7 linked regions of the Canis lupus familiaris genome follow. The protein of the gene in region 6 interacts with the protein of the main gene of each other region in a pairwise test. Links are inferred from orthologs where the notes say so. Each region holds a gene or a part of one and is shown on either strand. Other genes may lie near its edges. The genes, in order: SAXO1, CCDC92, JUP, SP2, ZNF131, FHL2 and DCP1A.

Region 1 (3,899 bases), on a different chromosome or scaffold from region 6:
TCAATTCATACAGTGATTACATCAATAAAATATTTCTGGTTCAGAGAAGAACCCTTGGGACCAACTTTGATTCCATCAACACAAGGTAAGGGACCAAAGTGGGGGAAGAAGCCAAGGGAGGGTTAAGGGGAATACTTAGCCCGTGATTAAATGTCATTTTCGTTGAGTCAAGCGATTCTCATTTTATTCAAGTGTCCTGGAAATGATGAAGAAGACTCTTTTTTTTTTTTTTTTTTTTTTTTTTTTCCATTTTGGGGAATTCTTTTTTGGCCAATGAATAACTCTCAATCACCTGCTTTTAAAAGTATTGTGCAATTTCTAAGTAACCATTTTTAAATATCAGGCTGACACTGCCAATTCCCGCTGGTTAGGGTTTTCTGAATCATCTACAGAAAGACGGCTGTCCTGCTGAGAGCCTGTCTGGGAAACTGGCCTGTATATCCTGTGCCCCAAAGCATCTGTTTCCTCAAAGATGTAGCCAGGGGGCTCAGCGTATGAAGCCAGGCACCTGCTCACATCCTTGGGAGTAAAGCTGATGGTGTATGTGGTCTGGCCCTCCACAGGGATATTTCCTCGGGGGCCCACCCAGGAAGGCTTACAGCTTTTGGTATTGATGGGTGGGTGGGGCACATAGTGGGCCCGCATAGTGGTCAGACAATCCAAGGGCTCAGTGGGAATGTTCAACTGGGGAACGGGCTTGACTAGCTCTGTGCGCATGCCAGGCCACTGCTTGTAGTCGTCCTTGGTGGTAGTGGAGCCTTCAAAGTGGCCACCCTTCTTGACTGAGAGCACCGGTCGGCAGGACTGAGCTGGGGCACCTTTAGGGTATGTGTAATGGGCCTGCACTGTTGTCAGAAGGTCCATCTTTTCTTCAGGAGGGACATAAGTGACAGGAACTTTGGAGAATATCTGGGGTGTGGGCCACGCTTGGTACTTATCTCGAAACTCGGTGGTGTTAGAGAAAGTCGTGTCTAAACCACAGGACCTGGCTGGAGGTTTCAAGCTCTTGGTTGGCTCTCCCATCAGGCCCCGGTAGGATTCTTTGTGGGTGGTAAGGCTTTCAAAGGGGATTTCACAGGGTCTGAACTTCTCTGCTTCATACACAAAGCGCTTCTCCATAGGGTGGGCCACATAGCTCATCTTGTAATTAGTCAGATCCTCCAGCGGTATGTTACAGAGCTTGGGCATGGCCAGAGGCTTACAGCTCATGGTGTTCACTAGGCCCTTTACAGAATAGTCATCCTGGTGTGTAGTTCTACTATCAAACCTGGTTGATGCTGGCCGGTAATGGTGTTCTGGACGAAGCAGCTCTCGTCTTGGTTGGTTCCAAGGTAAGTAATCAGCTGAAAATAAAGCAGAAGTGGTAATTACTTATAAATCAAGGCCACTTAACCTACATGTATTCTAAAGGTCCCCAAAGCCTTAAGCCAGTCTCCAGGGAGATGGTCCTTGAAACAAAGGAAGACTAGAGTAGATCCCTTCACTGCCTCAACACTGGGCTTCATACTTCAACTTTATAGGATTTGCAAGTGAGTATGCAGAACAGATATATTTATAGGAGTCTCATCATAACCCACAATGCTGCATGCAGGGATTTTAGAGAGTCCACAGCTATGGGAGGATCTAAGGATTTGATTCCAGCTGAGGAGTCAACCACCAGTGTACCTTGATCCAAGAATAGTTCTGTTCCTCTATGGGGGAGGTGCCCACTCTGAATCAGCACAGAAAGAGAAGATGCACATGGTGTAGTGAGAAAGGGGATTCACAAGCCACCACTGGTGGGCCACCAGCCAGACCAAGTAGACCTCTCTTTTCAACCTTGGGGTGACCATGATTGTATCCCTATAACCCACACATTTAACCCACATAAATCAAACATGCTGGCCCCAAGGGAATAAGGCATTGCATTGGCTGGTGAGAGAACAGCAGCTGCCACCTGCATAGAGATTATCATGTGATATCTTAATATCTTAATATTCTTAATACTTCCTATATTAACTCATTTAACCTGTGGACAGGTCTAATCAGGTGCTTTCAATATGCCCATTTTATAGATGCAGAAGCAGAGACACAGAGAACTTAGGGAACTTGCCCAAGGTCACTTGGCTAGAAGTGAAAAAGAAGGGCTACAAATCAGGATCCAAAATCCATACTCTGTACCCACTCCACTATCTGATTCTGACAATCAGAGAACACTATATACCAGCTAACTGTGCTAAGGGATTTCCATACATGACCTTGTTTCATCTTACCATAACCCTTTGTGATGAGTATAATTATCTCTATTCTACAGATTTTAAAGAGCAGGACTCAGAGAGGCTAAGAAATTTTTCTTAAAGTCACATGGCTAGGAACTTAAGAATTGGGATTTAAACCACATGATTGACTCCAAAGTCATGCTCTTCTGGCAGCCTATAATACAGTTAGGAGCACCATACATTTAGAGAGAATAAAGACTAATAAAGACTAATGAAAAATAATCAGAGAATTTTTGCAGAAGAATAATTTCAGAATATTTAAAGAATGTAAAGAATCGGTCCATGTATCTAGAGGATATCTGTCTCGAGGGGAACCTTTGCTGTGGGACTGGCATGGCCAAGATAATGTGAGACCTGTACCCAAATAAAAATCTTCCCTAAAGATGATCTCCATGAATCCTGGAGGTTTTGTCTTCAAATTGCACTAGGATCCTTTTAAAGTAACTTCCCCACACAAATCCAAGGACAGCTTTGAAACTAAAAATCAGCAAACTGTACCATCCAAACACCTCGATACTGGTTCCATAATGCTGGGCTCCCACCCAGGTCCTACATTGCCCCCATTGTGTCCATAAATTACCAGATCTAAAAAGTAACCAATATGAAATTCTAGTAAACACTCTGAATCTGAAGGGAGTTCTCCTGCTTACAGCTTTACAAACATTAGAAACAAAAGCAGCTTCTAAGGAGCCTTGGTTATATATAGCCAATATCAGTGGAGTCCATAGGTACACTTTTTAAAAAAAACACCTTTACTGAGATCTAATCTGTATAACACAAAATGCACCATCTTACATTTTTTTAATTATTCAGTAACTTTTACAGAGTTGTACAATCACCAAAATCCAGTTATAGAACATTTCTACCCCAAAAATATCAACCAAGCCCACCTACAGTTAATCTTTAGGGCCATCACCAGCAACCACACAATCTGCTATTGGTCTCCATAGGTGTGTCTTTTCTGGACATTTTATATAAATATAATGGCACAATATATAGTGTTTTGCATTTGGCTTTTTTCATGTAACATAACAATCAAGATTCATCCTTGTTGCAGCATGTAATAGTTCACTCCTTTTATTGCTGAATCATATTACATCATATGGATATACCAAATTTTGTTTATTTATTCAACAACTGATGAATATTTGGGTTGTTTCTACTTGTTGGCTATTGGGAAAATTTCTGTTCTGAACAGTCATAGCCAGGTCTTTGTATGAATATATATTTCATTTTTCTTAGGTATATACCAAGAGAAGAATTGCTAGGTTATATGGCAAAACTATTTTTAACTTTTTAAGATTGTACAAACTTTTCCAAAGTGGATGTACCGTTTTACATTCTCATCAGCAATTTGTGAAGGTTCTAATTCCTCCACATCTTTATCAACACTTTTTTTTTTCATTAGAGACACTATAGTAGGCATTTAGTGGTATCCCACTGCAGCTTAATTTACATTTCCCCAATAATTCATGATGGTAATAGAAAGAAACACAGGAATATGTCCCAAAAGAAAGAACTAGACAAAAACCACAAAAAAAAAAAAGAACTAAACAAAACAGAGATAAGCAACATGTCAGATAGAGAATTCAAAGTAGAAGTCATAAAGATATTCACTGGACCCTAGAGAAGAGTTTTCAG
Region 2 (4,275 bases), on a different chromosome or scaffold from region 6:
CTTGTGCCCACAGCTGTAGAAGCTCCCCCATTAAAAAAATTAAAAAGAGCCACAAAGCCCTTTAATCCACGGCCATGGGAATCCCTAGACACCCACCTCACACCCCATGTGCTATCTCCTACTAGCCATTCCTGCCCTGTTGGGGTACTGGCTAATTTGGAAACTGTGGGGAAGGAGCAGCCCCTTCTTTACAATGCTGGTGGTTCCAATCATAAGCAACTTTTGTTCTTATGTCAAAGTGAAACGTTTTCCTATAAATACTACTTGGCCTCTTCTGCACTTGGGAATTACTCTAAATACAGACACTCCCTTTGCTGCATGACAAACCTTAAATATCTGAAAACAATGAGGACACGTTCACTTCTCTGCCCAAATCTTTAAACATCAAAGCTGGAGATGTGAAAATTGGTGTTAAGCTAGCACCTACCTAACTAGTCTGGAACTTCAATATGAGCCAAACATTTATTGCAGCCTTGGTGTGTGAAGCATAGAGGCACCTAGTTGCTGACCTTTAAGGATCCAATCCAGTAGATGTAATCAATCTCAATAAACATGTGTGCCCATTATGTATCAGGAACTTTTTATGGCTGACCTTGTTCCAGATAGAAGAAAAAGGCCCATGTCTTTTCTTGTTAGAAACATGAGAGAATGCTTTATAAGTATTTCTTAAAAGCATCAATGTTGTTAACACCAGTATTGTTGCAAATGCTCTCTGCCAATTAAGTGACGACATTGAAATGAATTTATCCAATGAATCACAGATGAAAGAGTTAAGAACCCAAGTGATCTTCCATTGCAAGTAAAAGGACTCACGTGTTTTTCAAAAGAATTAATATTTTCTAAGAAACCTGTTAGACTGATGTATTTACACGTACTACAACAAAAAGCTGATACAAATAATTGTTTTGTACTTTGGATTTTAAACATATCTAAACTAAATTCACTGAGTAATTATAACATGATGCAGAGAAATAATAAAAACTACTTTAAGGTTTTTCAATAGTGTGTATATGTAAACATACATATATACACATAGGTATATACATATACCACAAGCCTTAAACCCTTTCTCAAAAATATTTCACATAAGACAAACACTTAACCAAAAGAAATACTTAAATTTAAAACCTCTTAGGGAATAAAAGTCACTTTAGATGTCAGCATCTTTCCCCTTACACTCCAATGGGAAGAAAATGCAGGCAAATTCTTGACAGTGCAAAAAAAATTTAATAAAACAACAACAATGCTCTTTACATAAACCTCAAACTTAAAAATATCTTATATATATATATTTTTTTTTAAAAACCGCAATTCTAGTTTTACATTCTTACAGGTAGGTTTCTGGAAATGCGTAATACATCAAAGCACGTTTTAAAATTAAACCTCGGAGCTTGTTATTTTTGCAATAACACCTATTACCGCAACCTAAATTTCGGAACACAACTGTATTTTCTCTTAGGCCACGTCATTTTCATTATTGGAATAGATCATACAGCTAAATATCAAAGCTTGACTTTAAACAAAACAGGTCAGCATGGAGACGTAAGTTAGATAAACTGGAGTAACTCACTAGCAGACCGCAGCTCGGCAGGCAAGCCTGGAGCTCTACTGCATATTTGCATTATGCTCAATTTCATGAATTACAAGCAAATTGTTATTCAGGGTCATCTAAAGCCCACATCAAAGCTTCAGAAAAGGGCTGTAAGGTAGAGTACTTACGCAAGGGTTATCAGGACACGAGACGACGCAACTTATCAGGGAGGGTCTCTAACGTCCAGAGGGTGGTAAAACGCATTTAAAAAATCGATGTGGATTCAGACGGCCGCCTCCCCACACATCCCAGACAAAGCAGGGCCAGGCCCCAGGGTGCTCCTGGTGCACCTGCAATGCGGATCCCTCGCCCTACAATCCCACCCCGGGGCTGGCAGGGGCGGCCGCTGGGCTGACCGCTCCTGCCCCGTGCGATTGGTCTGGGTGCGCGGTGCGGCGGGTCCGCAGCCTGGACTGGAGCCCGGGCAAGGGCATCCCCTCCCCACAGCGGGCTGGAACACGGGGGGGACAGCCGGCGCGGGGGGCGCTGCGCCTCACTTCTGCCCTCGCGTCCACCTCTTCGTGTCTCTGTCGCCACCGCCCAGCTGTTTCCGCACGGGGACCCCCTTCCCCACCGCCCAGCCCTGGGGGCGAGACGGGAGGACCCCCGCCCCCCGCGGCGAGGGCTTTGAAAACCACCTAATCCCCGTCCCGACAGGTGCTCCCACCCCCCGCCGGCGCCCGCAGAGCCTCCCCAGAGGTACCGCCAGGTGAGCGGGGCTGGACTCGGTCGCACCTCGGGCCCCGCCTCACCTGCGGGCGCGGCCGTCGCGGTCCTTCAGGCGGCTCCCCCCCTCGGCGCGGTCCTCCCGGCAGGCGGCTGCGGGGGCCGGCGGCCCATGGGCGGGGCGGCGGGCGGGGCTGGCTCCCGGCTCCGGCCCTGCGCCGGCCGGGCGGCCGAGGGAGGTCAGTGGGCGCCGCCCGCCGAACGCATCTCGCCGGCTCCCACCCGGGCGCTCGCCGCGGTGCACGCCGGGAGCGGGGGCCGGGGCGGCGAGGCCAGGCCGCGCTGACCGGGCGGACGGCTGACGCGCCGGCGCGGAGGCGGCGGAGGCGGAGGCGGAGGCGGCGGCGGCGGCGGCGGCGGCGGCGCGGGTCTGTCTGCGGCGCAGGGCGGGGGAGGCCGCTCGATACTCACTTCGCGGGGAGGGGGCGATGCCCCCCGTCCCCCAGCGGTGGCGGGGCAGGGGACGGGACCGAGGGGAAGGGAGGGTCTGGCCGGTGGGACGCAGGCGCAGAGCTCAGGTGCGGCCGCACTGCGGTTGCCCAGGGTAACGCGGGCCCGGGCGGGGCGGGGCAGGAGGAGCGAGCGGGCGAGCGGGCGAGCGGGCGCGCGCGCGCAGGGCCGGGGTTGGGGGGGCTCCCGGGACCAGCCTGGGATTGGGGGGAGGGCGCGCGCGCGCGGGCGGCCGGCGGGGGCGGGGGCGGGGGGTGCCGGGGCGCGGGCCGAGCGGCGCGCATGCGTGCGGCCCCCGCTCCCCCGGGGCTCGTCGGCCCCGTGCGTGCGCACGCGCGCTGTCCCCCGGAGGCGTCTGGGTGTGCGGAGCGCGCGCGCGCGGCTCGGAGGCGCACCTGTGAGGTGTCCCTGGAGGAGAGGGAGGGTGGGTGCGCGGAGTCCGCGGCCTGGGGCGCTTCAGCCCCTCACTTGGAGTGAGTTGTCTGGCGGCCGGGCTGCAGTCTGTCTCTTTTCGGGAACGAGGCGGGGGCAGGGGCACAAGGGGAGCGGGCTCGGGGCTGGCAGGACGATGAGTGGGTTAAAGAGAAGAAAAACAACCCATCACTCAGGATGGGCCTGGGGCCGCGCCGGCCCCGGGGCGTCGGAGGGGAAGGCGGCGCGGCCCCCCCGCAGCCGGCCGGCCCTGCGGCCACCGGGCAGGGCCCGGCGGAGGGCAAGCCCCGGCCTCGGGCCTCGGCGGGCCGCCGTGGGCCCGCGGCGCCGGCGGCGGGGCGCGGGGGTCACAGATGGCGGCCGGCGGCGCGGCGAGGGGTGGGCAGCGGCAGGGGCGAGGCCGGGCGGAGGCCCCGCGGGAGCCGGACTCCCGAGCCCGGGCTCCATTGTTGTTGGAGCCGAGGGAAGGGGGAGCGAGACGGCCGCAGGAGCCCGTGGAGCCGCGCCTTGGAGCCCTTCCAGGCAGGTCCCCGGAGAGGCGGTAATGGCCGCGCCGTGGGAGCGGGGAGCCGGGCCGTGCCGCGGGGGAGCCCGGCTGCATGGTGTGCTGTTGTGTTTTCGTAGAGCGCCCTGCGTCCCGGCAGAGCCCGCCGAGCATCCCGCCAGGTGATGAGGAGCCCTCCGCGCACCCAGCGCAGAACGCCGCTGCCGCTGGACGCCTCCATTGTTTGACCACAATAAGGGCCGGATTCTCACCCAGGTAAACCGGATGGCCGCGCAGCCGAGCTCCCTCTCAGCTCCCACATCCAAAGGAATCCTCTCCTCTTTCAGGACCTGCCTTCAGTTCGCTTACTGTCCCCCGCTTCCGATTAACTCAGTAAATCCACCTCCCAGACATTTTCCCATCTGGATTAATCTTCCCGCATCTCTCTGCCAAGTCACCTCTCATTTCCCTCAAAACTCGGCTCCTTTGTGAAACCTTCCTTGCTGAACTCTAACAACTAAATTTCTCTAGGAGGAGCCTGCTCCGCACATTTCCAGGGGCTAGTTTGTGGACTGGTTGTCCTACCGCAATA
Region 3 (3,899 bases), on a different chromosome or scaffold from region 6:
CACGTGAGGAGGTGGTGGAGGGTTTGAAACAGGAAGGGGAAGAGAAAGCCCCTCACCGCACACCAGAGGGGTCAGCCAAGAGCACTTCTCAGGAGTCAGCTAGGGCGGTTGTGTGGGTGGGATGGGGTGCTCCCAAGCAGGGGCCAAAGCCAGCTGAACATCCTCGAGAGGGGAGCAAGCAGTGTCCTCATCTCCGTCCCATCTCCCTGGTCCGTCCCTGAACTTCTCAAACAAGCTTTGGATTCTGGGACTTTGAGCATTGAACCTGGGTTCTGGCCACCCCAGGGGCTCAGAACAGTTGGTGGGTTGGAGTTCAGTGAGAAAATCAGGCCCAGAGAAGGAACCAAAGCTCTGAGGGGCCTGGGTTGCTGGAGTCAGGCCACCCAGGGTGGGGGTGAGAGTGGGGGGTGATTACTGGGTGGGGGAAGAGAGTGAGTGGTTGAGTCTAAAGCTTTAGTGCCAGGGCCACAGAGGTGGGAGGGGGTGTTGGGCCCTGGACCCACAGCCTAGGACAGAAAAGCAGGAGCATCCCTAGAAAGACCCTATAGAGGATGTCTGGAGGCATGGGCCGGCGAGAAGTCACAGCGAGAAGTCGTGGCCCTGCTCCCCTGGGCTCAGGCACTTTCCTGTCTCGCCCCATCGCCCACATGGAGAGCCTCTCAGATGAGGAACCGCACCTGGGGGAGGGGGAGTTATACACAGAGGGGTCAGGGCAGGCCTATGGCCTCCAGGAGCTTGTGCCACCCCCGTGTCACCCACCCACTACCCACCTGCCCCCAGCAAGACAAGGGAGTGAGGCAGGCCAAGGCACGCCTTCCTCAGGGGAGCTCAATGGCAAAAGGCCCCACACTCACTTCCCCCAGAAAAGGGCCAAGGTTTCAAAGGAAAGATGACAGGGCCTTTGTGAGAAGCAAGTTCTAGCGGGGAAGAAAAGCATGTCTCAATGGCCCAGAGGCCCCAGGCATGGGGGAAGCCTGCAAGCAGGAAGGTGCCGTACTGGATTGCAGCCAGCTAGGCCAGCATATGGTCCGCCGTGGGGTAGGGGGGCCTCAGGCCGTCGCTGTAAGTGTCGATGGGATAGTCCGCGTCCATGTCCATGTGCATGTCCAGGGGGTCCAGGGGCACATCACTCGAGTACATGGGGCGGTAGGTGGCGTCCATGTCTGGGGAAAAGAAGGGAAGAGGACCTTCTAAGGTCTGCAGACCACCCTGCTGGACCTCACAGTCCATCTCCAGTGGGCCTGACCCCTTCTCCACTCCCCTACATCAGGGGGCCTACACAGGAGTAGGTGTGGACTCTGCAGTGGCTGCCACTGGTCATGCGGCCCTGGAGACACAATGCCTCTCCTTCACTCACATCCCCAGACACCCCACACTGCAGGGTCTCGGGGACCCCTGAGGAACTCTGCACACACTCACCATCTGCGTAGGGCTCATTGATGGGGATCATGCTCTGGGCCTAAGGAAAGAGACAGAGAAACATTGCAGGAGGGGAGAAGGGTGCAAAATGTCAGCTCTGGGCTGGGGGGTGGGCAGCTAGAGATGCTTCTACAAAGAGGGAAAAGCATAGACCCCTCGAAGGAACAGAGGAATGAAATGGGGTTACACAGTGCCCCAATGGACTCCTCTCCTCAGTCACTTCCGAAGAGTTGAAGTTCCCACCGTTCTCGCATAGGGATGCCCACAAAACCAGGGCAGCCCTGGGGACAGCAGTGCACAAGATGCCTTGAGAACGGGTACTGGGAGCTGCCCCACCCAGGATCGGGGCAGCACTAGCCTACAGAGCACCTCTGCACACGTTAGAAAAAGGCATTGCCCCCTGCTTCAAACACTTCTAATAACATGGACAAAATAAAATTGCCATTCTGGCAGGTCAAAAGCAGATAGTTTAACCTACCTCTGCCATCTGCTAGAAATGGTCATCAATGATCCAATTACAAAATAAAAATCTGAAGTTGACAGTATGGTAGGAGGAGCTCCCTCAAAGGCACTGTCCATGTGTAGTGTGCAACTTGCACAACCATACATTGCAGTCCAACCCAGGATACTCACAGCCTCCCATGCAGCTGGGTCATGCTTGAAGAGGGAGTTGGTGAGCTCCACAGATACGCGTTTACGGTAATCTGGGTTCTTGTCCTCGGAGATGCGGAACAGGACAGCCGCAGCGTAGGTGGCTGAGCAGAGAGGAGAGGAAAACTCAATTAAGCGCCTGCCTTCACCCTGGCTGGAGGACCAAGACCCAGCCCCCGCTGTCTCCCCCTGGCCCACAGCACAGCCCCTCACCGGTGCCCTCATTGCGGGAGTGCAGTAGCTCCATGAGTGGAGCTGAGGCCCCCTCAGCATCAATTGCATCAGCTGCCTCCTTGTCCTGGGCCAGCTCACACAGCACCCCGGCAGCCACGCGCTGGATGTTCTCCACTGACGAGTACAGGAGCTGGGGAGAGGGAGGGTGCGTGGGGTGGGGAAGGGGCGCAGGTGGGTAAGGTGTAAGGCAGATGGGCAGCCCGCTCGCCCCCCAGCCCTGTTAGTCTCAGCTCCCCTTTTCTGGACTTAGCACCAGCTCCTACTAGAAAGTGTGGAAAAGTCTAAGAAACATAAAGAAATAGGAAAGAAAACCAGCCATAATTCCCCACCCACATATAGCCTTTGTTAATACACTGGCATATTTCCATCATGTTTTTATCATAGTCCTGTTTTAGGACTATGCATCCCTATTTTTATTTTTATTTTATTTTATTTATTTATTCATGAGAGACACACAGAGAGAAAGGCAGAGACACAGGCAGAGGGAGAAGCAGGCTCCATGCAGGGAGCCCGACGGGGGACTCGACCCCAGGACTCCAGGGTCAGGCCCCGGGCTGAAAGCAGTGCTAAACTGCTGAGCTACCTGGGCTGTCCCTTATTTTGATATTTTGATTCCTGTTTTGTTTGTTTGTTTGTTTTACCTCACACTGTAACATAAGGCATTTTCCTACATTATTAAAAAGCTTTACCTAGAAATCTGAGTCCATACTGATAAGAAAAAAGAGAGTGTTAAAAAGCCAAACAATAACAAAAAAACAAAACAAAACAAAACCCCTCATTGGTCACAACTGGAGGTTGCAAGGATGCTAATCCCTTACTCTGAACTCTAGTACTTAAAGGGAAAAAATTTGAAAAGCCAAAAATTCTTCAACCTCACTGTATTCAGCCATATGATATAATGGACTTTTTTTTTTTTTTCAAGATTTTATTTATTTATGGGACACCTGTGTGGCTCAGCAGTTAAGCGTCTGCCTTTGGCCCAGGGCGTGATCCTGGAGACCCGGGATTGAGTCCTGCATTGGGGTCCCTGCATGGAGCCTGCTTCTCCCTCTGCCTGTGTCTCTGCCTCTCTCTGTGTGTCTCTCATGAATAAATAAATAATTTTTTTTTAAAGATTTTTATTTATTTATTTTCACCAGCCCAGAGCATTCTCATTTTTTTTCTTTGCCAGTTTGATAGCGGAAAATGGGACGATCTCACTGGGAGCATAAGCTTCATTTCTTTAAACTCCTGGGGTTGAACACTGCCTGTTTATGAGCGACCTGGGATTGTTTCTGCCTCTGCCCATCTAACCACTGGGGTCTAGTATTACTGAGCTCTTTTATATGAAGGATATTAAACTCTTGTCTGTTGTGATACTTGCAAACATTTTCCCAGTTTGCTACTGACTTTTTCTTGCTTTTTAGACTGTTTCTGACATACAGATGATTTTAACGTTTATGTAGTTGAGATATTTTTCTCATTTGTGATCTCTTCCCTTGCTTTTGAGCTTGGAAAGCCATTCCCATGCAGGGATCTGCTAAGGGGTCACTCCTGGCATGGTCACTGTTCTCCAAACTCCTCCAATGACCTCTTGATGACTGGCCCAGACCCAC
Region 4 (4,617 bases), on a different chromosome or scaffold from region 6:
CACTCACTGTGATGCCTCAGTTCTCTCTCCCCAGACAACTGGATTATAAATTCCTCAATGGCAGGAACTACTTTCTTATATTAAAAAAGATCCTTAAAAACAACAACCACCTTGTCCTCAATTTTAATGGTAGCACCTGCCATACCAAGACGTAGCAAGTCAAGGTGAAAAGCAGAAAAGAGCATGGGGTTTAAAGTCAGAAATTTGGGTTGAATCCTGCCTCTTGTCACCTGTGCCCCATGAGCTCTTGGAAACTTAACTCCTCTGAGTTCCAGGCTCTCCATCTGCAACATGGGCATAATCTCTGGCATTTACTAGGCATACACGAAGAATAAAACCACCTCACAGAGTCAAATAGATTCCAGAGTAGTATGGCACCTTAATATAAGCCCCAAATAACATTCTTATTGAATTATTAACATCCCAGATGGATCTAGCCTAAGTGTTCCTGCCATCAAGCTGGGCTGTGTCTTCCTACTTTTTTTCTTGCCATTAACAATGACCAAAATTTTCTTATTAATTTTCTTACTTTACATCAAATTCTATGGTTCTGAGATTTCATTCTTGCTGCTGTATGTGATTCTATAGTAAAAAATAAACTTTATTATTAAAAAATACGTATCTGTCCTCTAACCACCCTCCAAAAAACTCTCCAAAAAGAAAAAGTGGACAATATAGGTATATAGGGATGTCTTATCCGATTTCTAAGGATGAGCAGTACATAACCACCTGAACCAAAGAGAGCCCACATGTCAGCAGAAATGGCCACTTACTACTGACCCCAGATGATGCTGACTCCTAGCACTCAGGTCAAATCAGCAGCTGCCTCAGTATCATCTTCTAAAGCAAGCCAGGGGGAACAGAGTGTCAGCCATTCAGTGCGAAGGAGAGGGAGGCGGGTGTAGAGGGTGAGTGTGGTACCTGAGTAGGCGTCGGCTCAGCCGCCTGGATCTGAAAGTTCTGGGAGGGCTTCTGGGGGACGGTGGGGAGGGTAGCAGATGCCGCCTGCACCACCCGCAGAGCCTGCTGGGGGATCTGTACCACCTGCTGCTGCTCGGCCTTGGGGGGCACCACCTGGACCTGCTGGACCACAGCTGGCTGGCCCCCACCAGGGCTCTGAACAATGAGCAGGTTGTTTCCTGCCTGGATGATGTTGTCCGCGGTGGTCTCAATCAGCACCGTCTCCACTTGCTCCGCCACAGCCACAGGGGGCTGGGAGGCAGGGAGACTCTTCTTCCTGGCTTTCTTGTTAGTCTTAGACAGAGGGGTGGGGGGGCTCTCCGTGAGGAGCTGAGTGGTGGCCCCAGAGTCGCTGGTGTTCACAAGGTTGTTGACGGGCAGAGTGAGTGTCACATTGCCGCCCCCACCCGTCAGCTTCACCACATTGGCCCCACTCTGCACAGGGGTGGTAGTTGTACTTGACTTCTGAACCGGGGCTGGCTTGATGGGGACAGGCTTGTGACTGGATGGTGAGGGGGTGATGATGGCTTGGCTGGTGCCAGGGATAATCTGGATCTGGTTGGTGAGACTGGGCTGTACCTGGATGGTCTGGGAACTGCTCGCCTGTATCTGAGGGACCGCCTGGTACTGGATATTGGCATTTGATCGGGTCCCTTTGTTGATCACAGTGGGATTCTGAATAGCGAACACGAGCTGCCCCCCAGGATAGGATGCACTCAGTTGTGACCCCTGAATCTGAAGGATGTTTCCTTTGGAGGACAGGATTCCGAAGCTATTCTTGCCAGGACTGAGAGGGAGAGGGGCAGGTTTGATGGGGACGAGTTTCCGTGGTGTGGGCTGGGGGGGAGCAGGCGGCGTCACCGCAGCTTCAACAGCTGGAGGGCCAATTTTGCTACATGTTGCGGCAAGCAGGGCTAGAGGAGATGGCTGGGAATCCTGCGAGAGAACGAGCGGAGGAAAAGTGAGACATGAACCTGCTGCCCAGCCACCCTCTACCCTTCGTGGTCTCCTCCTCTTGGCAGGCTCTTTGGCACCTCTGTGGTAGGCAGGGTGCTAGCATCTTCCCTCTCCCTGCTATCTCCTCTTTCTCTGAGGGAGAAAGGGTAGGCAGTGCCTTTCTCGGGGGGAACTCTCTAGAAGCCCCCATAACAAGGTGAACAAACACCTTTCCCACTACCCGTGTTTCTCAAGGGGTCACAGAATCATCCTCAGCTTTTAGGCAGAAGTCCATTGGCCCATCACGAGGGCTGAGGGGCCCCTGATTCCTCAGCTGAGGAAGGAAGGGAGGAAGAATAAACACTCAGGTAAAGTGGGGAGGGTGCTCTTTCGAGGCTACAAGGACAGAGCCTCTGGACTGTAGGGACACAGCCTCTATTTCCCTTTTATGGTCAGTGGGTCTGGTGGAAGGGACCTGGAGTTTAATCCTGCTTTTCTCCCAACTCAACTGTGCCACCTCAGGTAAGTGGCCCTGGCTTCTTCATTGAGAGAAAATGAACCACCGAATCTTCCCAGGGGTCATGTCCCAGGGTGTTTACAGAGAAGCCAGTACAGAGTTTTCAGCTGTGGTTTAATGTCAGCTTCAGAGAATGCCTCCAGGCTGATGCAGCACTGCCTCCCCACCCAAACCCACTGCTCACTCACCTGGGTGCTGGGGGCGGCGGGCTGCAGGTAGTCGCTGGGGCTGACAGCGGCAGTGGCAGCCATGCTGGTCTGTGGATCTGCTGGAAGAAAAGAGACTGAATAAGTCACCAGAGGCCCAAACAGAACCCAAGCCCATTGGCCTCAGGTACTCCTTTTGCCTCTCTCTGCTTCTCCAAGAGGTCAACCTTTTCTAATGCCTCCCCACTCAAGGTTAGCAACCCTACATCTTGTTCGGTGGGTGGCCTTCTCTCCTCTCCTCCAATCTGTCCATCCTGGGCTGGGAGGGCAGCTGGTTTTGTCTCTAGGCATCATAAAGCCTGGGACAACAGGAAGACACAAGACTTTGCTGAGACCAGCTTCAGTCATCCAATGGAGGAATCTCTACAGGGTACTGCTAACTCTAACTAGGTTGATGGAATCCCTATTTGGTGGGCAGGAGAGCCGCCCTCATCCCAGCCCTGCACCTCTGGTTAATCCTCTAGATCTAACCCAAGCTCCTTGCTCACTCCTTCTATAGCCAAATGCCAGGCTGACAGTCGCTTCTCTCCTAGGATCCCTGACAAAGACACACCTGCTCCACGAGAAAGGAGATCTAAGGTGCTTTATGCTCAGCCTTCACCACAAAGGTACCAGAGCCCAGGTAATGATCTTGAGCATGTGGATAACCACTTTCAGTGACTTTACATAGGCTAACAGGTATGGCCCCAAAGGCATCACCAAGACTAGAACTAATGACTAAATATAATGAGAATGAAAACAGAGTAAATTCTATTTTTGTTAAATGTGTACATATTTCTATATGTGAACACAGCAGGAAATGTCTTTGAAAATGCTGAAACGTTAAGACCCATTATTATCTCCTGGCAGTAGAATTTTGCTTGACTTCAAGAATTTTTCTTGTTTTTCTGGATTTTCTCATTTTCCCACAATGAATATACCCTATTGTGCCCCCCCCCTTTAAGAAAGAACAATAAGGAACGTTGAGGAAGTAATGAAGGGAATGTCTACTCTGAACTTAAATCAGATTTAAAGAATTAAAGTAAAATGGAAATCATGAGAATTTGGGGGTCGGGTGGGGAAGAATCTATGCCATCTTGTAGTTCATAAATCACTAAGGAAAAGGACACTAGGCAGTGAGACTCGCATCCTTAACCTTTGGAAAGTAGCTCTTGGGAAGTACAGAAACAAGGTTATTATTTCAGAGAAATAAACTGTGTGAGAAGCCAAAAGCACAGCTCTAGACAAAATCGTATAGGGAGATCTTGAAATATTACAGACACTGATCCTTGGCAAAATCCTAGAAACAAGACTGAATGGCACGTTATAATTACTGAAGACAACAATGACCCTAAGGAAGAAGGCACAGGGTTGCAAAAACTGAATCATGCTGTTTTCATGAGGTTTTGCATGGATACATCAAGGAAAGGGTATACACTCTGTATTTTATTTCAACAAGGCATCTGACCGAAATTTTCATAATATTCTTATGAATAAGAAGGGAAAAAAACTGCAGGCAGGAGAGTATGGTTTGGAGGCCAAGCCAAATGTGCCTCCTCCTAAAAGTGCGGAGATCCACACATCCTGAGTGGTTTGCTGCTGCAAGGTCAATCAGGGTTGTCTCAAACTAGGGGTGGCTCCCAAGACAAGGGTCTGCAGCTTCTCCTAAGGAGGCTAATGCTTTTTCTGCCCAGCATGTTTTATTCTTGTGTACGTTGTGATGGTTATCCTTTCAAAATGAACATACACTGACTGGGTGACCGTTGCTTTGCCAAGCTTTGCCTGTTTCAGGGCCTGTGCGTATGTTTACAGCTGTACTGTTGCCAAGTGGCACCACTCTAACTGCGTGGGCTAATTAAGACAACTTAATTCTGTACATTTAATTCATGATACATCTGTGCAAAGTGAAGGAGAACAGCTCTTCAGAAGCGTGGGAGGACTGTGTTGCTTGGCACTAGACACTGCAGGGTAGAGGCATGGGAAACTCAAGGAGCCTGAGGTGTCAAGTCTACCGTGCCT
Region 5 (3,899 bases), on a different chromosome or scaffold from region 6:
CATTTTTAATTTTGATGAAATCCATTTTATCAATTTTTGCTATTAAGTTTTCTTTTTGTGTGCTGTTTAAGAAATCTTATCCGTAACCCAATTTTATAAAGATTTTCTCTCTTTTTTTCTCAAAGCTTAATAGTTTAGTTTTTATCGACAGTCTGTGGTCCATTTTTTTGTTTGTTTGTTTGTTTGTTTTAAAGATTTTATTTATTCCTGAGAGACAGAGAGAGAGGCAGAGACATAGGCAGAGGGAGAAGCAGGTTCTGTGTGGGAAGCCTGATTGTAGATTCAGTCCCAGGATCCCGGGATCATGACCTGAGCCAAAGGCAGATGCTCAACCACTGTGCCATCCAGGTGCTCTGTGTGGTCCATTTTGAAATAATTTTTCTGTGTATGATTCAAGAGTAGTAGTTGAGGTTTATTTTCTCCATATAAAGACCAGTTATTCCAGCAGTACTGTTAAGAGATTCTTTTCTTCATTAAATTATCTTGGAACCTTTTTTCAAAAGTCAGTTGAATAAGTGGGTCTAATTTTGGACTTTACTCTGTTCATTAATCTTCATGTCTCTCACCAATATGGATAATTTACTGTAGTTTTTCAGTTTAGTCTTGAAATCAGGTTATAGTATAAGACTTCCAATCTTATTTTTCGCCTTTTCATATAAATTTTACTATGAGCTTATCAGTTTCTTTCCAAAAGCCTGCTAGGATTTTCACTGACCTTATAGAGTTTTAAGTCCATCTATTATGTTTTCAGGAACAAAGAAAACTCAGCTCCACTAGAGGAAAATACCACAGGAAAAAGTGAGGCAAAAAAAAGAAAGATTGCAGAAACTTCAAATGTTATCACTGAGTCATTGCCATCTGCAGAATCAGAACCTGTTGAAATTGAGGTAGAGATTGCCGAAGGCACAATTGAAGTGGAAGATGAAGGCATCGAAACGTTGGAGGAAGTGGCTTCTGCCAAGCAGTCCATAAAGTACATTCAGAGCACAGGTTCCTCTGATGATTCCGCCCTGGCACTATTGGCAGATATTACCAGCAAATACCGTCAAGGTGATAGAAAAGGGCAGATTAAAGAAGAAGATGGTTGTGCATCTGACCCCACAAGCAAACAGGTAGAAGGTATTGAAATTGTGGAACTTCAGCTGTCACATGTGAAGGACTTGTTCCATTGTGAGAAATGTAACCGTTCATTTAAATTGTTTTACCATTTTAAGGAACACATGAAATCACACTCCACTGAGAGTTTCAAGTGTGAAATATGCAATAAAAGGTATCTTCGGGAGAGCGCATGGAAACAGCACCTCAACTGTTACCACCTTGAAGAAGGTGGAGTCAGTAAGAAGCAAAGAACTGGGAAAAAAATTCATATATGTCAATACTGTGAGAAACAGTTTGACCACTTTGGACATTTTAAAGAGCATCTTCGGAAACATACAGGTAACTGGCAAATGCTTTATGTTAAAAGTATATTTTCCACATTTGCTTCAAGTCTAAGTGTCTACCTTTTTTTTTTTTTAATTAGTGCCACAGAAACCATCTCTTGTATTTTCTAATATGCAGGCTGAGCTCACAATGTTCTGATGATACTAGCGTGTTGAAATATTGACACTTTAAGAGCAAAATCATTAATTTTGAAGTTGGTTGTTACTCTTACACCTTGTCAGTTTTTATATTTTTAGAAGAAATACACAAAACACAGTTTGTGATTATTTACCAAGGATTATAAATTATGAAATCCTAATTATAGGGAAACTTCGCTCTTAATATTTTTTCCTGTTTCTGATTTATAGGTTATATAGATAAGTACATTTACAGCTGACCTCTGGCATGTTTATACCTTTGCATACACTTAGTAACTGGTTTTGACCTGGTGGCCAGGTAGGCAGTGTGTGTGTTGTTTTTCCCACACCTCTCTAGGGGCACACAGTGTCAGGACTGATGAACAGCGGGGAGATGAGAAAGGTGAAGTCTTTCACTGCCATCCTTCTGGCAGCCCTTAGGCATGCAGGAGGGATCCCAGAGAGGCTCACTTTGGGCCTCTGTATCTATCCCCTATACCTGTTCTTCCCCTTGTCAGATTCCCTGTCCTTCCACTTCCCAAGCATTCTTTGCTGAGTCTTCTGTGCCATACACAGGAGCTACCACCTATGACTTGAATCTTGGGTGTGGGAAGAGCGGTGGATATGGTGTGCTAAGTGTCAGATTCTAGACACTTGTTCCCATGTTCTTGTGTGTGGTGGCTAAGGCTGTTTAGACTGTTTAAGTGAATACAACAAGGCTATTCCATGCTATTCAGTCTTTCTCTTTGCTGCAGTTTGGAGAATTTTGAAGACTTTTTTTCATAGATCTTTTGCTGTCCTGAGTTGCTCGCCACATACTACTTGAAACTGAGGAAATGGAGAGATTGAAATAAATGTGATATCCTTCATTTTTAAATGCTTGGTATCAGTACTCAGGGACTGAATAAATGCTTGGTATCAATACTTAGTGGTTACATGAAGAGCAAGAGAATCTCATAACTAAGTCTCTGTATGGATTTTAAAAGCTTTGGGGTCCAAGTTTGGGTAACTAATAGGTGTTAATGAAATCTTTAAGGGAAATATGTTCTGATTTTCAAACATAGGCATAATACCTACTGTATATTTAGAAACTGCCTATAGTAATAGTTTTGGGTCCTTAAATGGTCATCTATTTTAATGTAATTCGTTTTGCAAAATGCTATAACAGTAGCACATTAAATTAGTAAATAAATGTTCCTTGGTGTAACTAGTGTGCTTTGATAAAGGTTTACAGTATCCCAACAGATGGTCACTTTTACATTAGCATAAAAGTGGAAGCAAGTTGTCTCTCTAACCCAAAACATTACCTAGTGGCTTACCCACTGTAAAACAGGCAACACAGACTATTTTGGAAGTTTTGGAATGTGCTTTCCATATCCTATCCTTTGTATTTTGGATTAAATAGAAGAAAATAGAGCTTAAAGTGTATTATGTTGTATGTCTTTATAATTATGTAATATAATTTAATTAAGTAGTTAGAAATTACAGAACTAGATGTCCATTGGAAGAACAGTTTAACACCTAAAGCAAACTGAACTTTGTTAGCATTTAACTGCAATTAACTGTACTAGTAATTAGTAATAAGATAGTTGCAGATGTGACCAGTGACTTGGTGAATCAAGGGAGCATAAGTAAACGGTTTTAAATTGTGCTTATGTGGGCAGCCTGGATGGCTCAGCGGTTTAGCGCCGCCATCAGCCCAGGGCCTGATGATCCTGAGGACTCAGGATCGAGTCCCACATCAGGCTCCCTGCATGGAGCCTGCTTCTCCCTCTGCCTGTGTCTCTGCCTCTCTCTCTGCCTCTCTGTGTGTCTCTCATGAATAAATAAATAAAATCTTAAAAAAAAAAAAAAAGTGCTTATGTTAATAAAGGATGGATCATTTTTTGCTTTTAAGAAACTCAGTGTAAATGAGGAAACAATCCCATTCCTGTTTCCTATCCTCAAAATATACATAAATCTCCTTCAGTTTCATATTTTGCATACTTTTACTAGTTTATTTTTTTTTTTTTTAATTTTATTCATGAGAGACAGAGAGAGAGAGGCAGAGACACAGGCAGAAGGAGAAGCAGGTTCTCTGCAGGGAGCCCGATGTGGGACTCAATCCCAGACCCCAGGATCACGCCCTGGGCTGAAGGCAGGCGCTAAACCTCTGTGCCACTCAGGCGTCCCAATACTTTTACTAGTTTAGCGGTTTGGTTTCTTTAGCATTCTTAAAGCCTGCATTATAATCTGTGGCTTGATTTGCAAAATTTTGGCTGTTTCTTGTCCTATGAATTAGTTTGTTTCCATTTGGAAAATAGTAACGGTAATACCAACCTGCTAGGTCTTAGAGGTAAG
Region 6 (4,434 bases):
GCCCGATGTGGGCTCTATCCCAGGAGCCTGGGATCATGACCTGAGCCAAAGACAGATGCTCAATCAGAGTCACCCAGGCGCCCCCAGAAACTTAAGTTTTAAGTGAAATCAATGTTTTTATTATAAAAGCAATAAAAGATCATTGTGTACATTTTAGAGATGTCATATAAGCCAAGGAAAAAACATCAGCCATAATCTCATCACCCTGCCATAAGCACATTCCCTCATTGGATGCCTATCCTTTCAGCATATGTGCAATAGTAACTTCTCACACATACACCAAGTTTCCCTTAAAGTGACCTGCATTTTCACTACCAACATGTCATCATATTGTTTCTATGTTATTAAATATTCTTCTATGACATTTCCAAAGGTTGCAGTGTTTCCTTCATGGCTATACTATTCCTCATTTTACCAGTCTCGGTTGTTAGTCATTTTGGTTGTTTCCAACTTTCCCCAATTATTAAAAAACCTGCAAGAAATGTCCCTGGAGCTGTATCTCTGCTGACATCCACGATCCTTTCCTTAGGATAAATTCCCAGATGTGGAATGTCTGTCATATGGCAGACAGCTGCTGCCAAACAGCTGACCTCAGTTGTCCTTCACCTGACCCCAGCCATGGCTGAAAAGCCTCCCAGAATTAAGAAATTTAGGGGTGAATCAGGAATTATTGCTACCCCAGATTAGTCCTCTCTGACCTCTTCTAGCATATGGTTTTTTTAAAAGCCCTGGGTGGCTCAGTGGTTGGGTGCCTTTGGCTCAGGGCATGATCCTGGGATCCCAGACTGAGTCCCACATTGGGCTCCCTGCAGGGAGCCTGCTTCTCCCTCTGCTTGTGTCTCTGCCTCTCTTTCTGTGTCTCTCATGAATAAATAAATAAAATCTTAAAAAATAAAAATAAAAAAGCTCCATAAGATTTCTGCATTAGCTCTATAAAGAAAATGATTTGTGGCCCAAGAATCCCCCCAATCATGCATGAGTGGGGGGTGGGAATGGGGAGAGAGGGCCTTTATAAGGAGACTGCATTCCCGGCCTCCCACGTGCCCAGCATGAAGCCGATCCCTTAGAATCTCCCCTAGAATCTTTTTCACCCAAACCAATACCCCTGAAGCCAGGGAAGAGGGTCCGTGTGCTCCTAGCAAGAGGCAGCGCTGACAACCCACAGCACACCCCAGGGCACTGTGTGGCCTGGATGACTTTCCTCCCCCTTCTGTACCACAGCGCCGGCCCTGATCTCGGGGTGGGGGGGTCTCCCAGCATCCGAGCCCCTGCAGCCCCCCAGGGACTCCACCACTTGTCTGACCAAGCGAGATCCCTCCCAGCGCTCGGCTTTCCCCTCTCACTCCTCCTTGGGTTGCTGGACTGTGTGCAAGGCCCAGGGTGTCCTTGAGGTGGGCAGGCCAAATGGGGAGCTGGCACCCCTTCCCATCTGGGGGCCGAGGCTCCTTTAATTTGGATACCTTAAAAGGCTCGCGGGAGCGAGGGGCTGGGTTCTTATCTCTGGGCTCTGGACAGCACCTTATTTATAGCCCTGCTGACACGAGGCGGCAGCTGGCCAGCAGCTGCACACACAGTTGCAGGAGCAGCCCACGAGCGTGGGCCCTGCCTCCCCACTGGCCCCTGGGCTCGCCGAGGGCAGACGACAGGACAGGTAAGCTTCCTCCTCCCCGGGGCCCCTTCCTTCCCTGTGCCCTGTGTCCTCCCAGGCTTCGCTGCCAGCTGTGCGGCCTCCTGCCCCGGGAGGGAGCTCTCTGGCACTGTGCACCTGCAGACCCCAAACCCAGCCCCAGTGGCCTGGCAGCGGGCCCCCGCCTGCAGCCAGCTCCTGCCCGGGGCTGCGGGGCTGTGGGGAAGGAACAGAACCTGGCCCTGGCCGCTGCTCCAAACCCACGGCAGGTGCCTCCGGGAGTAGAAAGAACACGGAGGGAACCCTCCGTTCATCTTACCCTCTCAGACGGGGAAACAGGAACTACACGGAGTTTTGAACACCAGGAAGCTTTTTGTAAAAGAAAAAAGAAAAAAAAAAAAAGTATAAAATAAACATTGGGAGGGGGGAAACCACAGTGCCCTGGAGCTTTTTCTCCTTGACAGAATTTCCGGATGGCCTGGGGTGAGGAGGCAAATTACTGAGGAGTCTGATTAGGCTGGGAAAGTATGTTTATACAAGATGACTTGTTACGGCTGACGGTTCCAAAGTACAGATAGCTGTTGTGTGCTTAAAGGAAATGCATTCACATTTTACTAATTTACTAATTTCTAGAGCAGGATGTGAGCAAATGCACAGTATTGAGTAATGCTTGGGCCAATTGTGTAATAATGTTAACACTGATAAGATGGCATATTCTGATAATAGGTGTCATACATGTTAACATCCTCTAGTCATACTCCATGCAAGGCACCTTATCAGGTCTAATCCAATAAAAAGAGATATTACCAGGCCATTTTTTAAAAATAATTCTGAGGTCAAAAGATAGTATTAACACTTGCGTTATTGGCTGATGTTATTTTATCATGGACTTGCTCTATATAGGTTTGTTCTGGTTTTATTTTATTTATTTGTTTCTTGAGGAATGCTATTTGAATTTTGTTTTATTGCTAGGTTTATAACATGATGTGCTGTAATCAAACCTATTACATTTTGAGATCCATCCAATCTTAGGAGAGTTTTTGTCTTTAAAGCAGTAGCCAGCTACTCAACTCACACAATTACATTTTCGAGGCCTTTTCTGATATTAAGAAAATGCTTCAATGTATAACCTTCATGAAGAGTTGCATAGTTTCCCCTAAAATATTCCCTGACTGCTCACTCAATCTTGCCTGTTTTTGAATGCATTTTGCACTATTAGATTTCTTCATCCCACTTAGTGCTTCTGGAGTTCTCCATTGGTTCCAGATCCTGAGGCTAGGCCACGTCATATTTCTCTCTGTAATCTGATAGCTCTTAACACAGGGACCTACATAGTCTACTGGTGTCTAAAATACTTCAGATTTAAAATAGATGGCCAAGAAACTGAGTTTAAATTGTCCTCTCCCCACCGTCAAAAAAAATTTTTTTCAACCAAATAAATTATAAAGATCTTATTGGTTTTACTCAATGATTCATCAATTGGGCAGTATCCCACCCAGCAGACAGAAAAGGGCTGTGCAGTGTGTACAAAACTGAAGACCTTTACAGACAGAAGGGAACAGGAACTAGGAAGGTACATGGGACAAAAAAAGTGGACTGTTTATTCCAACATTACTTTCCTTTAGAGGATGACAGGGCTCTATCAGGCAGATGACCTAACTAATGCTCATCAGGTGAGTTCTGACTGCTTTAAAATTCCATTACTGGAAGAGGCCAAAATTGTACTTAGGTTAGGTGTGTTTGGTGACGTGGAGCTTAATATAAGTGACTCCATTTGGGGCCTGTTGTCCTGTTTTTAACACCACCAAAGAAAGAGGTGAAATTATATTCATAGTGTTTATATTTTCTTTCATTGTATCTTACTGTACAAATATATGCCAGAAAATACAGACCAGCAGAGAGAAGAAAATGAAAAATTATGTGTGGTCTTACTACATTTATTGTTTATCCTATTTCTTGATTCTAAGAAGTCTTTGATTTTGAGATGAGCCACTAATTTAACACTAGCTTTACAAGAGAGGGAAGGAAAGAACGCCTGGGTGGCTCAGTGGTTGAGCGTCTGCCTTTGGCTCATGGTGTGATCCCAGAATCCCAAGTCCCACATTGGGCTCCTTGCATGGAGCCTGCTTCTACCTCTGCCTGTATCCCTGCCTCTCTCTCTGTGTCTCTCATGAATAAATAAAATAAAAAAAAAAAAAGGTGGGGGGGGGAAATTCTCACTATATACCACTCCACATTGATGTATTTTAGGATGCATCTGAAAACAATAAATTATATGGAGAACTATAACTTCTAATTAAGAAAAAAATATATCATCAGGTCATTTGGTAATCTGCTTTTTGTTAAATTTATGATCAATGTCCTTTCACCAAGCATTCAAACTTTATTTCTTTGAAATTAGTTATCTTTATATGACATTGTGATTTCTTTCATTTAGCCAGAATATTCAAATACTTATAATGATGGGGAATTAGAATGATGGAAACTTAAAAAAAAAACATAAATTAAGCTTTAGATAAGCAATTTTATCAGGATATAACTAGTTGGGTTTTTTAAGATTTTATTTATTTATTCATGAGAGACAGAGAGGCAGAGACACAGGCAGAGGGAGAAGCAGGCTCCCTGCAGGAGCTAATGAGCAATATGCTAATTTCTACACTACTAATGCAACCCACTGAATAGTAAAAATACACAACCATCTTGTGCCTTGATCTACATGACCCCTAAAAGTTTATTTGGCTGATTTCTTCCTCATTATCACTGATTCATCAGCCTTTTATCATTTAGTCTCCAATATACCAAATAAG
Region 7 (3,211 bases), on a different chromosome or scaffold from region 6:
AATTTGACAAGCAGAAAAGCTGCCCAGGAAGCATATTTAGAGTAACAAATGCCAATCAAACAAAGTATTCTTTATGCTAAAAAAACTAAGACCAAACTAAAACAAGTATGTAATTCACAAGTAATTTTCTAAAATCTCAGCTAGGAAAAAAAAAAAAATCTATCGATTTATGATTGAGTTACCATTAAAGCTTAAATGACTGTTCGCAAGGAACCACCACATCCATCAGCATTATTCACAGCTCACCCTTATGCTAGCTGGTTGAGCCAACTGGGTTTTTACCCCATCATTAAATAGTGCTCAGAAAAGTAAGCAGTGCATCTTAATTGGTTAAATACTACAAAATGATCTGCATCATAGAAACGAAGACACTTTCATTCAAAGAGTATCTTAAAATTACTATTGCTGAAATAAATCAAAGTCTACATTAAAATATTACTAATCACCATTACATGCCATAAAAGAATAAATATAAATCATGGCAGGTCAATAGCAGCATAACAAAGCATCTTTACATATTTTCACACTTTGGGCTGCAAAAGTACTCACAGCCTAGGAATACATTGGTAAAGTTCTGAATTTCACACTTTGTTTTTAACTCCATATTCTATAATAAAATAAGGGCAGTATGAATAACAGCTCCCTTTTCTGCATAGCTTTAAAACTACTCTCAGTAGACTCGAGGAATGGAACCAGAATGGCTTTGCTAGATTGGTCCACTGGTCCTTTTTGCCAAGTGTTAAGGAAAACAATCAACAATGACTTCTGTGTTTAGACAGAAAAGGAAAATAAGGCTACACTTCACACAAAACTTAACATTTTCGAAACCACTCAATAGTTTAACGTAAAGTGAAGGTTTCTGATCAAATTCAGTCTTTACCAGTCCCAGCCTTTGCTTCAAAGGTGTGACATGCTACTCCCATACCATCACAGAGCCGGAGGAGGCCCTAGTCACGTGGTATCACTGCCCTGGGAGCCCGCAGCATGGCAGCTCTGGGGACACTTAAAAAAACAAAACAAAACACAATTGAGAAATTTCAGAACTTTTAAGGCCCAAATGGGGCATTCATAAAAATATACTTCACTTGAACAAATCATTCCTAATTTGCCAACTTAAACTCTGATCCTTAAAACTCAAAGCTACTTTGCATAGAGCTGACTACTGCTCTGTTCAGAACTTGACTATCAGCCTAAGGCTCAAATTTCTAGGGGGGAGAAGCAGGGGAAGGGGTGCGGGCTGAACTCTGCTACAAGGCTGGTGACCCCTCCCCTCCCTATGACCTTGAGAGTGAAAGCAAGCTGAAAACCAGGCTCCTGATTTCACATCCCTTCTTACAGCTGATGAAAACACCCACACAACTTAATGTTTTTTTTTTTTTGTTTTTGTTTTGTTTTGTTTTTGTCAAAACAAAGGTCTGCTGGTGATGCTTCACAGTGAAACCTCCATTATCACTGAGAACGTCACTTGGAAAACATTCTTAAGGAATGAGTCTCTTTCTCATAGGCTCAATTTCAGGATTCTCAAAACTCAATGTTCTGTTTAGAAGTTCCCATGATGAGGCCTATTCGTTTCTGAGGTCGACATTCTGCCTTCGGATTTATTCTGCTCCAGTCATAAGTTGTGGTTGTCTTTGTTCTTGGTCAGAACCTGCAAGTAGACTTCGTGAAGTGTACTGAGGAAGCTGGAATCATTCTGGAAGAGATGGTAATGTTTCATTTACCTCAGAAGAACTTACTGTATAAATGATTTATAAAACTAACTACCCAAAGAATCCCATCACCCAGAGACAGCTGCAATCAATATTTTGGAATTCATTCAGATACTTTTCCATTGGGAGTATATGCTCAGAAAGAGAGAAACATCAGTCCCGCTAGTCTTCAATTCACCTTATGAACTGGTTTTCTAAAAAGAATTTATGTTTTTTAAAATTAAAGAACAGAAGTTTACAGATTCAACTGCTGGGATGGTCTGCATACCTTTATTAGATGTATTAATGTATCCTGGAGCTGGGACTTGCTGAGAATAATGGAAGGCTTTCTCTGATTTTCTGATGTTCCAACAGTCAGTGGAGAAGGGGCGCTTGCTTTTCTCTCGAGGTCTGTGGACCTTGTGACTGTCTGTTGGAAAACACTCGGGGACAGCAGGACTGAAGACACTGCCATGGTTGTTGCAGTAACCAGTGTGGGGCCTGTGACCTGCAGGGCAACAATGGTCATGAATGAAGCTTGTCGGCTAAAGGATGAAGGGTCTGTTTCTTGGGAAGCCAAGTCTGATCATCACACAAAAGAAGTATGATCACACAGGGTATGCACAGTAAGAACAATCCTATGATAAGAGGTGTCTGCATGGCTTAGTTGGTTAAGCGTCTGCCTTTGGCTCAGGTCATGATCCTTGAGGCCTTCGTTGGGCTCCCTGCTCAGTGGGGAGTCTCCTTCTCCCTCTGTCCCATCCCTGCTCATGCACACAAGCATGTTCTCTCTCAAATAAAAAATTAAATCTTAAAAAAAAAATCCTATGATAAATTAAAAATGCAAAGTTTTTTTTTTAAAGATTTTATTTATTTATTCATGAGAGACACAGAGAGAGAGAGAGAGAGAGAGGCAGAGACACAGGCAGAGGGAGCAGATCCCATGCAGGAAGCCTGATGTGGGACTCGATCCCGGGTCTCCAGGATTACGCCCTGGGCCGAAGGCAGGCGCCAAACCGCTGAGCCACCGAGGGATCCCCAAAACTGCAAAGTTTTATATGGGGAGCAGGGAAATGATTGGAAGAGGGCATGAGGGACTTTCTGGGGTGATAGAAATCTTACATATATTGATTGAATGGTTACCCCAAGGGATATTATGTTTGTTAAAACTCATAAAACAGAATCTGCATTTTATATGTATTTCACTGCAGTAAAATTTTACTTCAGATAAAAAAAGAAAAAGAAAAAGAAAAGGAGTGCCTGGATGTGTCAGTTGAATGTCTATTCTTGGTTTTGGCTCAGGTTGTAATCAGTTGAATGTCTATTCTTGGTTTTGGTTCAGGTTGTAATATTAGGGTTGTGAGATGGAGCCCTGAGTTGGGCTCCACACTTAGTGCAGAGTCTGCTTGAGATCCTCTCCCTCTCTTTCTGCCCCTCCCCACTCTGCTCTCTCTCAAATATATAAATAAGATCTTGAAAAAAAAAATCCAGTTGCATGAAGCATTAGTTTCTTTTGTAGTGTC

The links.
Region 1: the proteins of FHL2 (region 6) and SAXO1 interact in binary tests that used the Homo sapiens proteins (3 or more experiments, as listed by UniProt). The two-hybrid records come from large-scale screens. The link is inferred for Canis lupus familiaris from reciprocal best matches to the Homo sapiens genes FHL2 and SAXO1.
Region 2: the proteins of FHL2 (region 6) and CCDC92 interact in binary tests that used the Homo sapiens proteins (3 or more experiments, as listed by UniProt). The two-hybrid records come from large-scale screens. The link is inferred for Canis lupus familiaris from reciprocal best matches to the Homo sapiens genes FHL2 and CCDC92.
Region 3: the proteins of FHL2 (region 6) and JUP interact in binary tests that used the Homo sapiens proteins (3 or more experiments, as listed by UniProt). The two-hybrid records come from large-scale screens. The link is inferred for Canis lupus familiaris from reciprocal best matches to the Homo sapiens genes FHL2 and JUP.
Region 4: the proteins of FHL2 (region 6) and SP2 interact in binary tests that used the Homo sapiens proteins (3 or more experiments, as listed by UniProt). The two-hybrid records come from large-scale screens. The link is inferred for Canis lupus familiaris from reciprocal best matches to the Homo sapiens genes FHL2 and SP2.
Region 5: the proteins of FHL2 (region 6) and ZNF131 interact in binary tests that used the Homo sapiens proteins (3 or more experiments, as listed by UniProt). The two-hybrid records come from large-scale screens. The link is inferred for Canis lupus familiaris from reciprocal best matches to the Homo sapiens genes FHL2 and ZNF131.
Region 7: the proteins of FHL2 (region 6) and DCP1A interact in binary tests that used the Homo sapiens proteins (3 or more experiments, as listed by UniProt). The two-hybrid records come from large-scale screens. The link is inferred for Canis lupus familiaris from reciprocal best matches to the Homo sapiens genes FHL2 and DCP1A.

Annotation. Positions count from the first base shown.
Region 1 is NC_049232.1:38,829,228-38,833,126, forward strand, and holds the end of SAXO1 (stabilizer of axonemal microtubules 1), read right to left. Parts: intron 1,344-3,899; coding exon 340-1,343; 3' UTR 201-339; downstream 1-200. UniProt on the Homo sapiens protein: May play a role in the regulation of cilium length. Stabilizes microtubules at low temperature.
Region 2 is NC_049247.1:5,970,583-5,974,857, reverse strand, and holds the start of CCDC92 (coiled-coil domain-containing protein 92), read right to left. Parts: upstream 2,801-4,275; 5' UTR 2,729-2,800; intron 2,686-2,728; exon of another isoform or gene 2,629-2,685; intron 2,551-2,628; exon of another isoform or gene 2,344-2,550; intron 1-2,343.
Region 3 is NC_049230.1:20,925,833-20,929,731, reverse strand, and holds part of JUP (junction plakoglobin), read right to left. Parts: intron 2,435-3,899; coding exon 2,284-2,434; intron 2,175-2,283; coding exon 2,053-2,174; intron 1,460-2,052; coding exon 1,420-1,459; intron 1,164-1,419; coding exon 1,012-1,163; 3' UTR 998-1,011; intron 678-997; 3' UTR 1-677. UniProt on the Homo sapiens protein: Common junctional plaque protein. The membrane-associated plaques are architectural elements in an important strategic position to influence the arrangement and function of both the cytoskeleton and the cells within the tissue.
Region 4 is NC_049230.1:24,184,123-24,188,739, reverse strand, and holds the start of SP2 (transcription factor Sp2), read right to left. Parts: upstream 2,926-4,617; 5' UTR 2,914-2,925; coding exon 2,826-2,913; intron 2,682-2,825; coding exon of another isoform or gene 2,679-2,681; coding exon 2,602-2,678; intron 1,897-2,601; coding exon 922-1,896; intron 1-921. UniProt on the Homo sapiens protein: Binds to GC box promoters elements and selectively activates mRNA synthesis from genes that contain functional recognition sites.
Region 5 is NC_049225.1:67,662,960-67,666,858, reverse strand, and holds part of ZNF131 (zinc finger protein 131), read left to right. Parts: intron 1-751; coding exon 752-1,437; intron 1,438-3,899. UniProt on the Homo sapiens protein: Plays a role during development and organogenesis as well as in the function of the adult central nervous system. May be involved in transcriptional regulation as a repressor of ESR1/ER-alpha signaling.
Region 6 is NC_049231.1:39,049,267-39,053,700, forward strand, and holds the start of FHL2 (four and a half LIM domains protein 2), read left to right. Parts: upstream 1-1,510; 5' UTR 1,511-1,651; intron 1,652-1,946; exon of another isoform or gene 1,947-3,041; intron 3,042-4,434. UniProt on the Homo sapiens protein: May function as a molecular transmitter linking various signaling pathways to transcriptional regulation. Negatively regulates the transcriptional repressor E4F1 and may function in cell growth.
Region 7 is NC_049241.1:36,947,218-36,950,428, reverse strand, and holds part of DCP1A (mRNA-decapping enzyme 1A), read right to left. Parts: intron 2,197-3,211; coding exon 1,978-2,196; intron 1,694-1,977; coding exon 1,613-1,693; 3' UTR 1-1,612. UniProt on the Homo sapiens protein: Necessary for the degradation of mRNAs, both in normal mRNA turnover and in nonsense-mediated mRNA decay. Removes the 7-methyl guanine cap structure from mRNA molecules, yielding a 5'-phosphorylated mRNA fragment and 7m-GDP.